3 linked regions of the Drosophila melanogaster genome follow. The protein of the gene in region 1 purifies or fractionates together with the protein of each later gene. This does not show direct contact. Each region holds a gene or a part of one and is shown on either strand. Other genes may lie near its edges.

The links.
Region 2: the proteins of Su(P) (region 1) and mtDNA-helicase purify together in Drosophila melanogaster (affinity purification with mass spectrometry, with the first as the bait; one large-scale study listed by BioGRID). This does not show direct contact.
Region 3: the proteins of Su(P) (region 1) and CG9577 purify together in Drosophila melanogaster (affinity purification with mass spectrometry, with the first as the bait; one large-scale study listed by BioGRID). This does not show direct contact.

What each region holds. Positions count from the first base shown.
Region 1 is NT_037436.4:16,610,118-16,614,181, forward strand, and holds Su(P) (suppressor of ref(2)P sterility), read right to left. Parts: upstream 2,083-4,064; 5' UTR 2,001-2,082; coding exon 1,246-2,000; intron 1,182-1,245; coding exon 775-1,181; intron 713-774; coding exon 621-712; 3' UTR 545-620; downstream 1-544. Other genes in the region: Prosbeta6 (proteasome beta6 subunit), read right to left, coding at 1-37, 113-201; CG4101 (uncharacterized protein), read left to right, coding at 2,459-2,722; Mo25, read right to left, coding at 4,033-4,064.
Region 2 is NT_033779.5:9,890,738-9,895,323, forward strand, and holds mtDNA-helicase (mitochondrial DNA helicase), read right to left. Parts: upstream 2,710-4,586; 5' UTR 2,683-2,709; coding exon 2,391-2,682; intron 2,333-2,390; coding exon 1,895-2,332; intron 1,726-1,894; coding exon 614-1,725; 3' UTR 526-613; downstream 1-525. Other genes in the region: CG34183 (uncharacterized protein), read right to left, coding at 1-3; CG4537 (uncharacterized protein), read left to right, coding at 173-336, 396-525.
Region 3 is NC_004354.4:20,164,758-20,168,597, reverse strand, and holds CG9577 (uncharacterized protein), read right to left. Parts: upstream 1,926-3,840; 5' UTR 1,834-1,925; coding exon 1,782-1,833; intron 1,642-1,781; coding exon 1,479-1,641; intron 1,408-1,478; coding exon 783-1,407; intron 717-782; coding exon 618-716; 3' UTR 518-617; downstream 1-517. Other genes in the region: CG9581 (uncharacterized protein), read left to right, coding at 1-447.

The sequences.
Region 1 (4,064 bases):
TACGGCAAAGTCATCTCCGGCGATGGCCACAATGGAGCTGTAAACAGGGAAGACTCCGGTTAGATGGAGACATTCTTCCACATCTCGATTCCGCTGGGAAATAGCAACTCACCCGCCATTGGACTCGTAGGGCGAGAAATCAGGATGCTTCATGCCGGGCACCTGGTAGTCCGGGAATTGCTCAAAGCCCAATCTGCTCATGTTTTGTGCTGAAATTCACCAATTAACTCGCCAAGTAAAAAACCAACGAAATGATTTGCAAGTTTGCAAGCGGCTAACCAAAATCACAAAATCAATGTGACCGTTGTTGAGCATCGGATCCAGCCTGCTTAAACGTTATCGATAGGTATACATACGTCGGTTTGGGATATTTTTATTAGCAGGAGGTATTTATTTAGTAAACATTTTTAATTTAACATATAAATAAAATAACAATATAAAACCTAAAATTAATTCCAATTTGTACCATAAACTTGCACTCCTTACGCGTTTTTGACCAAATATATACATTCAGATACCATAAACGAAACGGCAAACTAGATTTGATTAAAATGTATATTTTAATGAACATTTCGGTTATTTTCAACAATCTTTGGATAAAATAAGGGCAAATATTTGTTTTAAGCTATAGCGGCCATGTTTTCAATACGTTCTCTTTGCAACTGCCCACGATTCTTCTCCACCAACGCCTTGACGTCATAAAACCATTTACCTGCGGAAATATGTAAAAAGTTCGTAAAAAGGTACAAAACCCGAGAAAGAAACCTTATTTACCGATGCTGGTGTTTTGCAGACAATCCTTGAACGTCTGACACCCCTCCATGCTTGAAAGCACGCCGAAAACCGATAGATCAGCCAGACTTGGCTGTTTTCCGCCCATGAATTTCGTGTTCCTCTTTTTCAGCTCAGTGGTCCACTGGTCAAGGGCATCGTACATGTGCGACCTGACGTCGTCGCTGAGGGCGTGACGGCGCTTCAGCATCTTGGCTATGGCCCACATGGCGGTGGCACCACAGTAAACCATCAGGTCGCGCTCCCATTTGGGGAAGTGAACGTCCCACTCGCCAGCTTGCGAGAACCACTCAAAAGTCTCTAGGGACTCGCCCATGGTCTGATAACAGTTGGGCGATATTAGATGCACCAAGTGGCTGTCGGCCCAGCTTCTCCACTTGCGATCGGTTCTAAGAACAGACACTCAAGGTTAAAAGATTTGATTAAAAGATTACTTGACCCTGGTTAACTTACTCATCCGTTTCCTTGGATACTCCCTTGGGCGTATGCTCGCGGTACATGAGGAAGTATTTATTCAATATGTCGTTCTTCTTTTTGCCATCATCGTCGAAGAAGGAGGTGTGCGGATAGAACTGTGCCAGCTCGCCGATGTCGGTGCGCTTGTCCTGCAGGTGGGTGGCTATAAGGGATATGATGGCACTTGAGTCCACCATCTGGACGTATTTGCCGTCCTGCTGTCGGATGAGCACCATCGGCACCTTCTTCACCGACGACCAGCGGATGTCCTGCCGTAGGACGGCATCCACTTCGACCACCGCATAGGATATGCCCATGTAGTCGAGGAAAGCGCGCACCTTGCAACAGAAGGGACACGTCTGGAACTGGAACAGCACAATGTCCAAACCGGACGTGTCCTTGGGGTTGACATAGCGCTTGGTTATCCGCACTCCAGCCGGAATCCCGTCCAGCCGCGTCGGCTTCGTCTCCTCGTGCTCTTTGTGCGAGCTGCCGTCTGTCCACCGCTGGTACATCGTATACACCGATCCGGTGGCCGCGCCTACGGTGGCCCCCAAAACTGCGAGCTTGAAAGTTCCATTCGGCTTCTTTCTGCCTCCGCCGTTTTCAACCGCTACAGCAAACTGGCGGCGTGCGAATGCAGCATCCGGATTCCGTTTAGTCAACAGGCGCAAGGCTCCACCTCCGCTTGCTGCCGGCGGGGGACGGACCCCTGCCAGAACGGTGGCAGACGCTAGCCGAATACATGACATAATTCGCACGTTTGTTTTGACTTATACTTAATATTATGCAAAAATTAGCGACTTATCAGCCGCGACTATGAGACCAGTGTGAAAAAATACCAAGACTTTTGTAGGGCTCCGGAATATACCATAAAGTTTTGAACATACCTTAAACGGTAACCCTGAAGAATGTGTTGGGGATGGGATATTTATTTCACTAGTGTTAAACTTTATAAAATGTATTTAATAATCCAGGTAATTGAATTTAAATAAAATCAAGCGAAGATTTTGTGCAAGCCTTTAAATACTTGCCGTTAATGAGCTAACAACCTTAAAACTTTGACCTAAAAAAGTTATCGATAGTTTCCACCTGAACTGTTGGTTCAGGGTACCATCTCTACCCAATACAAAAAACAAACTTTTTGTAGTTGTTATTTTTTTTTGTCTAATCCTCGCGGGTTTTGTTTATAAACAATACCAGCGCAGCGATGTCGGCTTCCGCGGACAGTCTGGGCGCCGCCGCAGCCCTGGACAAGTACGGCGACGAGGACATCTTCAGCTTGCTAATCCGATACGGGCTTTATGTGGGTGCTCTCTTCCAGTTCGTTTGCATTTCGGCCGCAGTATTGATGGAGAATAACCCGGATGGCCAAAGTAATCCGGAGTCCGGCGAAGTGACGGAGCGGGAGGGCGAGCCGGTCCGGACGCGCCTGCACAAGATTCGTAAGCTGGAGAAGAAGAAGCGACGATAGATGTAGCCATCCTTAATATATACATATGTAGCTAGCCTAAGAACTCTCGAATTCATTTATTAAGATAATTGTAATAAAACCTAGTCGACAACGATTAAAGTAGAAGCCTGCACACATTTGAAAACTCCTTCATGGGATTCCTACAGCAGGCTGAGTCCTGGAATGGACTCATTTACTCATTTAGGCACACCTTGAAACGTGATTTGAAATCTCTTTTGGTTTCGGTGGCATTCCCAGCGTGTGAATCATCTCCCCAGCCCTTGATCGACGTTTTTTGGGTGAGGTTGCCGCCCTGGCACGATTTTTTGCACATGACTCAGGGGGGAGCTGCACGCCCCCTGAGAAAACCACCGCCCACAGTGGAAAAACTGCTGATTTGTTTGGCTGTTATCTTTAATTTGGGAATAATATAAATTATAATAATCGTATAGTTATTATGTTGCTTGCAATGTTGTTGTTTCTTGTTTTACTTCCCTTTTAACTATGTACGTATGCATGTGTGTAGTGTGTGTGTGTGTTGAATGCTTTCTCTCTCTTTTTCTTTCTCTTGCTCTTTCTATATATATATATCAGTGTATATATAGTAGAGTCCATGCCGAAGGATGCACAGACAATTATCACTATGAATTATTATTATTTTTATGCAGTATTTAGTTTTCGTTCTTTTCATGAATTTTGCGTGGAATTACATTTTTAAGTCAAAACTCATTGTGAATCTTCAGTTTTTTTTTTTTGGGGCGCAAAAGGGGCGTGGCAGGTCAAGGCGGTGAAGGGATATCTCGTTTCAAAAACGATCAAATTTTAAATACAACAACTAGTTAAATGGATATCGAAAAAAAGGGTCTGGAAAGGAAGGGGGATTACTTCGCGGAGGATCGACGAATGGTTAAACATATCTGTATAATAGGATAGCGGATCTCTAGGCCCAGAATGTCTAAATGTGGCTATGTTAAATTCGAAACTCTCGGTACAGTTTTATTTTTCGGCGTTACGCTATTTACTCGTACTTTTTCTTGTTTTCTAATTCGCTTTATCGTTATTTTTATCATTATCATCATCAGTGTTGTTTTTGTTGTTGTCTAAATTATTGTTTAGTTACTCACAAGTGTAGAGTCATCAGCGTCACAAAATATAGTATATAATATATATTTGCTTTAACCCACACACAAAACATGTTCACATCCTGCTAACCCACCATCGCTCTCTCTGCTTCCGTATCGATCGCTTCTGGCTTCTGGCTACGGTCCTTTTGCCCCCGGGACGCTGGAGCTGGAGTTGGAGCTGAAGTTGGAGCCGAGGTGGAGGTCCAACTAAGCCTCGGGCAGCGGCTTCAGCTCCTTTA
Region 2 (4,586 bases), on another chromosome or scaffold:
CATTTTACGCTTCCAAAATTTGCAATTGAGATGGTCGATAACAACCTTCGATAGACACTTAGTTGGGAAATATGCGGTCAATCGGTAGCAAACAATCGATATTAATATCAATGGAATGGTCACTCTGTTTTTGCAAAACGTAAATAAAAAACAAATTGAATTGATAACAAAAATGGTTTGCGAGAAGTGCGAGGCCAAGCTCTCCAAAGTTTCAGCGCCCAATCCCTGGCGAACGAGCACAGCTCCTGCGGGAGGACGTAAAATCAACGAGAACAAGGCTTTATCCTCGGCCCGCGAGCGATACAATCCCATAGGGACTGCTTTACCACCTTGCCGGTAGGGAAATCTCCTCAAGAATTCATCTGCATATCTTAATCTGATTTTTAATTATCCAGAATCTGCCGACAGAAAGTGCACCAGATGGGTTCGCACTATTGCCAGGCGTGCGCCTACAAAAAGGCCATATGCGCCATGTGCGGCAAGAAGATCATGAACACCAAGAACTACAAGCAGAGCTCAACGTGATGCAGTTTATCAAAGGATGCACTTAAGACTAAACTAACCATAGACAACAGAATAATTATAACCTATAGTACAACAAATGCCTTACTAATCAGTTCTCGGATGGCGTCTTTTCCCGTTTTCGCTTGGCATTTTGGATCTGGGTTGAGTAGCTCAAGCCGTCTTTGTCGAATTCCAGTGGCATGATGCCCAGGTCGCCGGAATAACGATTCTTGGCAATTTGGAGATACTTCTTGCCCCGCACAGAAGTCAGCCTCTTGTCTTGAATGATCAACACGTTGTCCGCTTCTTGGGTGGCCTTTGCTGTGCCGAAAACCGAGCTGGTGGTCAGCTCGTCCTCCTGCCGCTCCTTGCGCGGATGCATTACGAGTGTCACGTGTACATTGTGCTTGGTGGCAAAGGAGCGAAAGGCAGCTATAATAGAGTCCTGTTCAAAGAACTTGTCGCCTCGAAATGTGGACACGCCCATCATAAATTGCAGATTGTCAATGATCACGTGCATCACATCGTGCACATACGACGCATGCTCGATGGCTTCCAGAACCGGCTTAAGGGGCTGCTGTCCGTGGAAGGTCATAAAGTATAGCGGCAAACGCTCAAACTCCGCTGCCCAGTGGTTAAACTCATGCAACCGGTCGTCCAACGGGTAGCCCACATACTGGCGAAGCAAGGTGGCCGCCAGCCGGGTGTTTCGGATCTCAAAAGAGCCCCACAGCGTGTTTACGCCCTGCATGGCCAGATCCAGAGAGTACTCGCTCATAAAGGTTGTCTTTCCACTACCCGTGGGTCCTGTGAGGATTGTCAACTCTCCCCTCCGATGGCCTTTGAGCAGCTTATTCAGTACTGGAAAGCGCTTCCACTTTACTCCATTGACTTTCTCGATGTTTTGCAACTCGCTGAGAATGTCATTTCGCATTGCTCCGAATGTTGTGATGGCCTTGTGCTGCACCGGTGTCGCTTTGGCCAGGATGTGGCGCAGATTGAGTCGTCGGCGCAGAGCCAAATGTGGCGCAGGTTCCGTCTCAGTAGGTCGGATTAACAGGCATCGCCTTTCGTCCAACTTTAACGCAAAAGCTCTAGCTGCATCCCAGCTGTGACTGGCATCGTAGTGCAACCAAAAGATGAGCTCTTTGAAGCGTTCCAAGGCGGGCAGACACTCTTGTGGTAGAGTCTTCAGTTCGTAGGGCAGGCATACAACGCAATCTAGGAGACAATTTAATTTTTAAATTAAATTATATCTTAAATGTGTACTAGCTGAGCCAAACTGGTTTCCAAATTATTTTTAATTGATATCTTAAATATATCACCCTAGGATTTCTTCACTATTCTGCAACCAATGAAAAATATTCCTAAAAGCTATGTTTTCACTTACGCGTTTCAATGTTCTGTGTGGCAAGGACAATAAAGTCAATTAGATTGCTGACTAGAACCGCTTTGGTTTTGTTCATCGCACCGTGAATCAGCAGCCCGGAGCTGGAGCTGCTCTGGAAGATCTCCTCCCGTCGATCGCCCAGATATAACACCTTTTCGCCAACCTCCACTTGCGCGGCATTGCGTAACTTAAAGTGGAGCAGCTGTTGCTGCGGCTCCCACTGTGCTCCTATGGCATTTAGTTGGTCCTCCTTCAAGCCCTTGATTCCCAAAGCTGCACAGGCCTCGGGAGTAACCACGGCCAGGTGGGGAAATCGGGATTCATAGACCGGCTGCCTCTGCAGCGGTTGCTTATAGCCAACCGGCTTGGGCAACTGATAGGATAATAAAGCGCTGGTCAGTGAGGTTTTTACGTCGCAATTGGGGCAGATAAAGGCTCCTAAAGGAAAATTGAATATACTACGGTTTTTTTTGCGAAATGTAATTGGTGCTCTCACCCGTCCGCTTGTTTACGTAAGCCAGCAGCCCATGATCGGTGCCCTTTTGGGCGTTTGTCACCGGCTGCCTATTGCGATCGCAGAGGCGACACTCCAGCTGCAAGCACGTGTGTCCGTCTTTGTGGGGCAAGTTGAGCTGCCGCAGCTGCCGCTTGAAGTCCACATACTCCTTGGGGTCTAGTGAGCACTCCTCCAAGCCGGAAACCACTTGGGTAGCGTAGTTTTTTCTCCAAACACGTTGTTTTTCGTTATTTATACGCAACAGCGGTTTGATTAAACCGGCGCGTCTCATTTTCCATGTTATCGATATCGAAAGTGAGGGGTGGAAAATAGGGATGACAATTGGGCGCGCAATTTTGAAGATTTGTTTACCTACTATTAATCATTCAAATATCTTTGTACTCTCTCAGTGCTCTGGGAAGCGCTCTATTTAATACTAGGAAATCTCATTAAATTACTTTCGTAAAGTGCGCTTACAATTGTGCTAAATTGTTCGATAAATACCAGTTTAGTTAAGCACGGTAAATTCAAATTATAAAGCATTATCTATCTATAACTTTGTTCTAAGGTCAATACTTTATTTGTACAACTGATTAAACAAATTGCGGCTCTTTTCCACCATCCCAATAACAATAAAAAATATATACAATTCGTGATTATTTGATTTTATTAGTTTATTTATTTTAGTATTTGAAGATGTCCAATTCTTTTTATATCAAGATCTTTTACACAAGGCAACGTCACTCTGCAATTAAAGTAAAATATAAAATATATTAAATACATCATCTCAAGACAGCCGAAATATATATATTTGTATTAGTCAGACGCCTTAGACCATCCTTAAGCCGAAGCTTTCTGGTGGAAACCGCAAAAGGTGTTTAAGGTAATCATCAGTTTATTTATTAATTTAAAAAAAAAAATTCTCGAAAATATTACCTTATACAGTCGAATAAACGAGCTCATTTAGTTATATTTGCCTGCGATAAACCACATTTCTGAGTTGATCTGGAAACAAGAGATAAAATAGGTAAGTAAAATGCTAGTTTAAGTATAATAAAGTTTTTATTGAAACTTTTTAGTCAGACGCCTTAGACCATCATTAAGCCGAAGCTTTCTGGTGGAAACCGCAAAAGGTGTTGAAGTTAATCATCAGTAAAACGTATATTGCATTCAAACATAAAAATGTTAGTGTAAATAAATTACCTTTATCGGTAAATCCATGTGCTCGCTGCTGCAGCTGGACCCATACATAACCTCAAACCAGAATGTAAATTCTGGAAATAAAAGAAAATGGCATCAATACAGTGTGTACAAGGAGTACTTCCAAATATTTTATATATTTGATTAGGTTTCAGTTTACAATTTTCTGCACGGTTATGAGCTCAGTACAGGTCTGTGTAAAAGATCATCAGAGAAGCATAGACCAACCAAAAGTATTAATATCTTACCTCCAATGTGACAATGGCGTCTCCAGTGGGCTCAGTGCCCAAGGTGTCTCAACGGGCTCACATGTTGTCCCGAGGTGTCTCACATGCACCATGCACGTGGAGTGCCCGGATTTCGATTTATCCAAATGCTTAGGGTTTCAATATTGTTCACTGCAAGAAATACAGAACTTTTAGAACATATTCTTGCCAAACCCAAAGAAAGTTCTTGAAGTTATATGCCATCAGATCGCCGAATCATCTTAAATGAACAAATATATAACGAGGCACTGAAAAATACAGCGCCAAGTCGAGAATTTGTTCCTTCAGTCTCGTCATCTGTTTCATCATTTGAGGCATAACACTCTTCCATTTAAGCACTTTAATTCACTTGATATAAAACTATTTACGAAGAGCACACAACTTACCATTTCGAGTCTTGAAATAAAATGAACGAGTTTCGTCATCGCACGTGGAAGGAAAAATTCTGTGAAAAGATGGCGGCCAACTATCGATGTCTCTGAATGCAACCATGGTAGTATCGTATCGGAAAAATTGTTTGGTTTTTGCCTGATATATATTGTATAAGAATGTGCAATAATTAACTTAACCGAATAAATGATATTCCATTTAATTTTCATTAAATCATTCATAAAATACTTAATATATGAAAAACTTTCATATTTATATGTTAATTCGATGTATCGATTGCCTATCGCTGTCTTCGGTGATCTAGCCCAAACAGCTGATTTTACCAAAATACTTACCACAC
Region 3 (3,840 bases), on another chromosome or scaffold:
ATGAAGCCGGGCGGCGAGACGCTCGACCAGCTGTTCGAGACCACCTGCTACAAGCTGGGCAAGTACTTGCAGGAGATCGGGCTGGTGGGCAAGTCGTTCAGCGAGTACAAGGAACTGGTCAGCCAGGGCTACCGCTTCTGTCCGCACCACGTCTCCCACTACCTTGGGATGGACGTGCACGACACACCGCACGTGCCACGCAACACACGCATCGTGCCCGGCATGGTCTTCACCGTTGAGCCGGGCATCTACATTGGCCAGGATTGCGGCGACGTGCCGCCCGAGTTCCGGGGCATCGGCATCCGCATCGAAGACGATCTGCTCATCAACGAGAACGGCCACGTGGAAGTTCTAACTGAGGCGTGCGTCAAGGATCCACGCGCCCTGCAGGAGCTTTGCAAACAGCAACAGAAGAACCCCGGTGCCTCATCCGCGGAGGCGTTTTAAGAGCTCACAACGAAAACCAAATTCCTAGTCATAAGCCTTTCATTCTCCCGACAACCTTATGAGCTGATTTGGGTCCTAAAGTAAAGGCAGATGCTGTATTTATAAATGCACACATGGCAAATACATTTTAAATTCTGTCAGATTGCAGATTACATATTACAGGTTACCGATCACAGCTTGGCGAACACTGGCTTATCGTCCTTCGTCAACTGGGCGGCCACAGCCTGGGCGAAGTCCTCCGACAGCAGGTTGAGCTTGTTCAGCAGGAGCTGCAAGGTGTGAGGCGTGAGGCGTGGTTAGCTCGTGCAAATTCGTTGAGATATTAGGATACCCACAATGTGATCCAAGCCCTCTTGATTGGTGTGCTCCAGGGAGTACACGAGGCTCTCCTTGGTTGTCTTTACGGCGACGGGACTCTTGCTAGCGATGAGCTCGGCCACGGCCAGGGCTCCGGTCAGCAGGGAATCCTTGTCTGGGAAGAGGCGACTCACCAGGCCCGAGGAGTGGGCCTCGGCGGCCTCGAATTTGCGCCCAGTGAAGCACAGCTCGCGGGCGAGGGACTGACTGCCCACTGCCTTGGGCAGACGCTGCAGGGTGCCCACGTCGGCGGCCATGCCGATGTCCACCTCCTTGACCTGGAAAAAGGCGTCCTCGGTGCAGTAGCGAATGTCGGCGGCGGTAATCAGGTCCACGCCGGCGCCGATGCACGCCTTGTGCACCGCCGTGATGACCGGCTTGGGGCAGTGCTCCAGGCTGCTGATTGAGTCCTGGTACACCTTGATCATTCGCTCCATGGAGACGCCCTTGCGGGCGTAGTCATCGGTCTCGGCCAGCGTTTGGCCCACGTTTATCATGTCGTTGAGGTCGATGCCGGCGGTGAAGTGCTTTCCGGAGGCGGACAAAACGATAGCCCGGCAGTCGGGATTAGTGGCCAGTCCGTCGAAGCACTCCTTGATCTCCCTGGAAATGGGTAACGCAGTTTGGGTTAGCAGTCTGCGGAACAGGAAACGGGAAGCTATTGGATAACCCACAGCCACATCTGCTTGCTTATGGCGTTGAACTTGCTGGGCCGATGGAGCTCCACATGAAAGACGAACGGCTTGGGCGAACTGACGGCCAGCGTCTTGAAAGAGCCGGTGGGTCCGGATTCCGGGAGGGCGGAAAGGTTTCTCTGCATCTTAAGGGATCCGATGGCTGACGGGAAGTGCAATTGATTGGACTTTTAAAACGATGAAGAGACAAAGGTTCAATCACCGGTGTTCGGACTTTGAACCGAACCCAAATTTCGAACGCAGAAGGCTGGATGTCGGATTATCGAAGTCCCCGATACTTACCCGTGGGCTTGGGCGTTAGTTTCATCAGAGTGTTCAGGCGGGAGAGCGACATAATAAACCTTCTTTTCACTGGTTTCAAATCAAATCTACTTGTTGCGGCAGCTAAATTTGTTTTGTTTGCTTAACGATACGTAGCAGTGCTGCCACCCGGCAGAAATATTCAAAATAAGGCGGGCTCTCGGCTTATCAAAGCTACTGGATATATTTCACTAGCAGATTTTCAATGGATTTTTCTGGCTGCATAAGGACACAGTTGTTGCAATAAATGGGTTGTAGGTAAAATCAAGTCGTTGCGGCAGAAATTTGTTCGGCTACTATATCAATACGGTGTTTTGCTGCCACCCGGCTGGAGGATTCTAACTTAAAAAGTTTTGCATCAAATTCGCGTCAATGCGAATGTGTATTATTATTTATTTTTTCGTTGTTTAGAGGAGTATTCCAAAAAATAAAAATGCTAGAATGTTCAGATAAGAATTATCCAACTATATATGTACGACTTAAGTTTATAGGACTCAAGAAAGTATATAAAATGCGCAATCGAAAAATCAGGTTCACCATTCTTTGGAGAATATTTCCACTCGCAGAGCCTGTTCCTAATTGCACGCTAGCCCATCTTAAGGGACATTTCTTGTGCCTTGCTTACCTAAACCGAATTAGGTAATGATCCTGGAAAAATGCAGTGGGAGGAGCTTAAAGCATTTAAAAATGCCGCCTGGAATTCACCTCAAAATACGAAAAAAAATTAATAAGTACATAAAAAACGATGCCATGTTCCATTTTCTTCCGTTCCGACATAGCCGCTAACTCATCGACGCTAACTTGACGCACATAACAAGACGCACATAAAATTGCCATGAACAGATATTATTCTCGAATCTATCGATGTATCGTCCCAGCTTCCATCACTTCTCAAAGTTATCGAAAATTTGAGTTCTGCTTGCCACAATCTAAAAATCAGAAAATCATAAAGGTGCATAGTCTCGAAGCAGAAGCTCACAGGTCAGAGAAGAAATTTTCGGAATAAAAAAATAAATATAACAAGTTTTCAAAAATAACTCCGCACCAAACCCATTTAACCAAATCAAAAGCTTAAAGCAGTGAATAGTGTTATTTTTAAAAATTTAGCACAAATAAAAAGTTCGGGAATTCAACGCTTTTTGGTAAGTTTTCATAATGAAATAGCATTGTGCAATGAATTGTAACACAAATACATATATCTACTTGAAAAGGCATTAATTAGAACCCCTATACACATACTTTGAAAATAAAGGACTGCAACTTTCATTCAATTCGCATTTGCCCCAGGTTACGGCAATTTTCGAGGAAATTCGTAGAAACAGAAATAAAACCGAGAGTTTGACGCTTGCCAACTCTGGCAGTAGGGTTGCCCCTAAGCGTTTTTCCAACTGTTTAATTATTTGTGCAGGACTTTACATTGAATTGGCACACGTGTTTTTTGAGACAGCCACAAAACAAAATCTTCAACTGAAACCCGCCATGTTTTTGTTATGCTAGCCGAATGTATATAAATCAAAGAAGCGTTTCCGACCCCATAAACCTTACAAACTATATATATATATATGTTATACATATATTCTTGATCATTTGCTTAATAATATTCCCGATTTGCTTGTGTGAATCTCAAACTGTTGCCGCCAACTTCTTGGTATTAAGGGACACGTGCTTCACTTGTCAACAGAAGCTAACTGGCAAATTGTGTTCAGATTAGACTCTTAGAAACCCATTAAGAGTTAAAAAAAATCAATCGATGGGAATTTATAGAAACAGAATCGTCTCCGACCCTATAAACCCTACAGACTATATGTGCATATTTGTATATTCTTCATCATTGGCTAAATAAAATTCCCGATTTGTTTGTGTGAATCTCAAACTGTTGCCGCCAAAATGCTCAACTTCTTGGTATTAAGGGACATGTGCTTCACTTGTCAACAGAAACTAACTGGCAAATTGTGTTCAGATTAGACTTTTAGAAGCCCATTAAGAGTTAAAATAAATCAATCGTTGGGAATTTATAGAAACAGAATCGTCTCCGACCCTA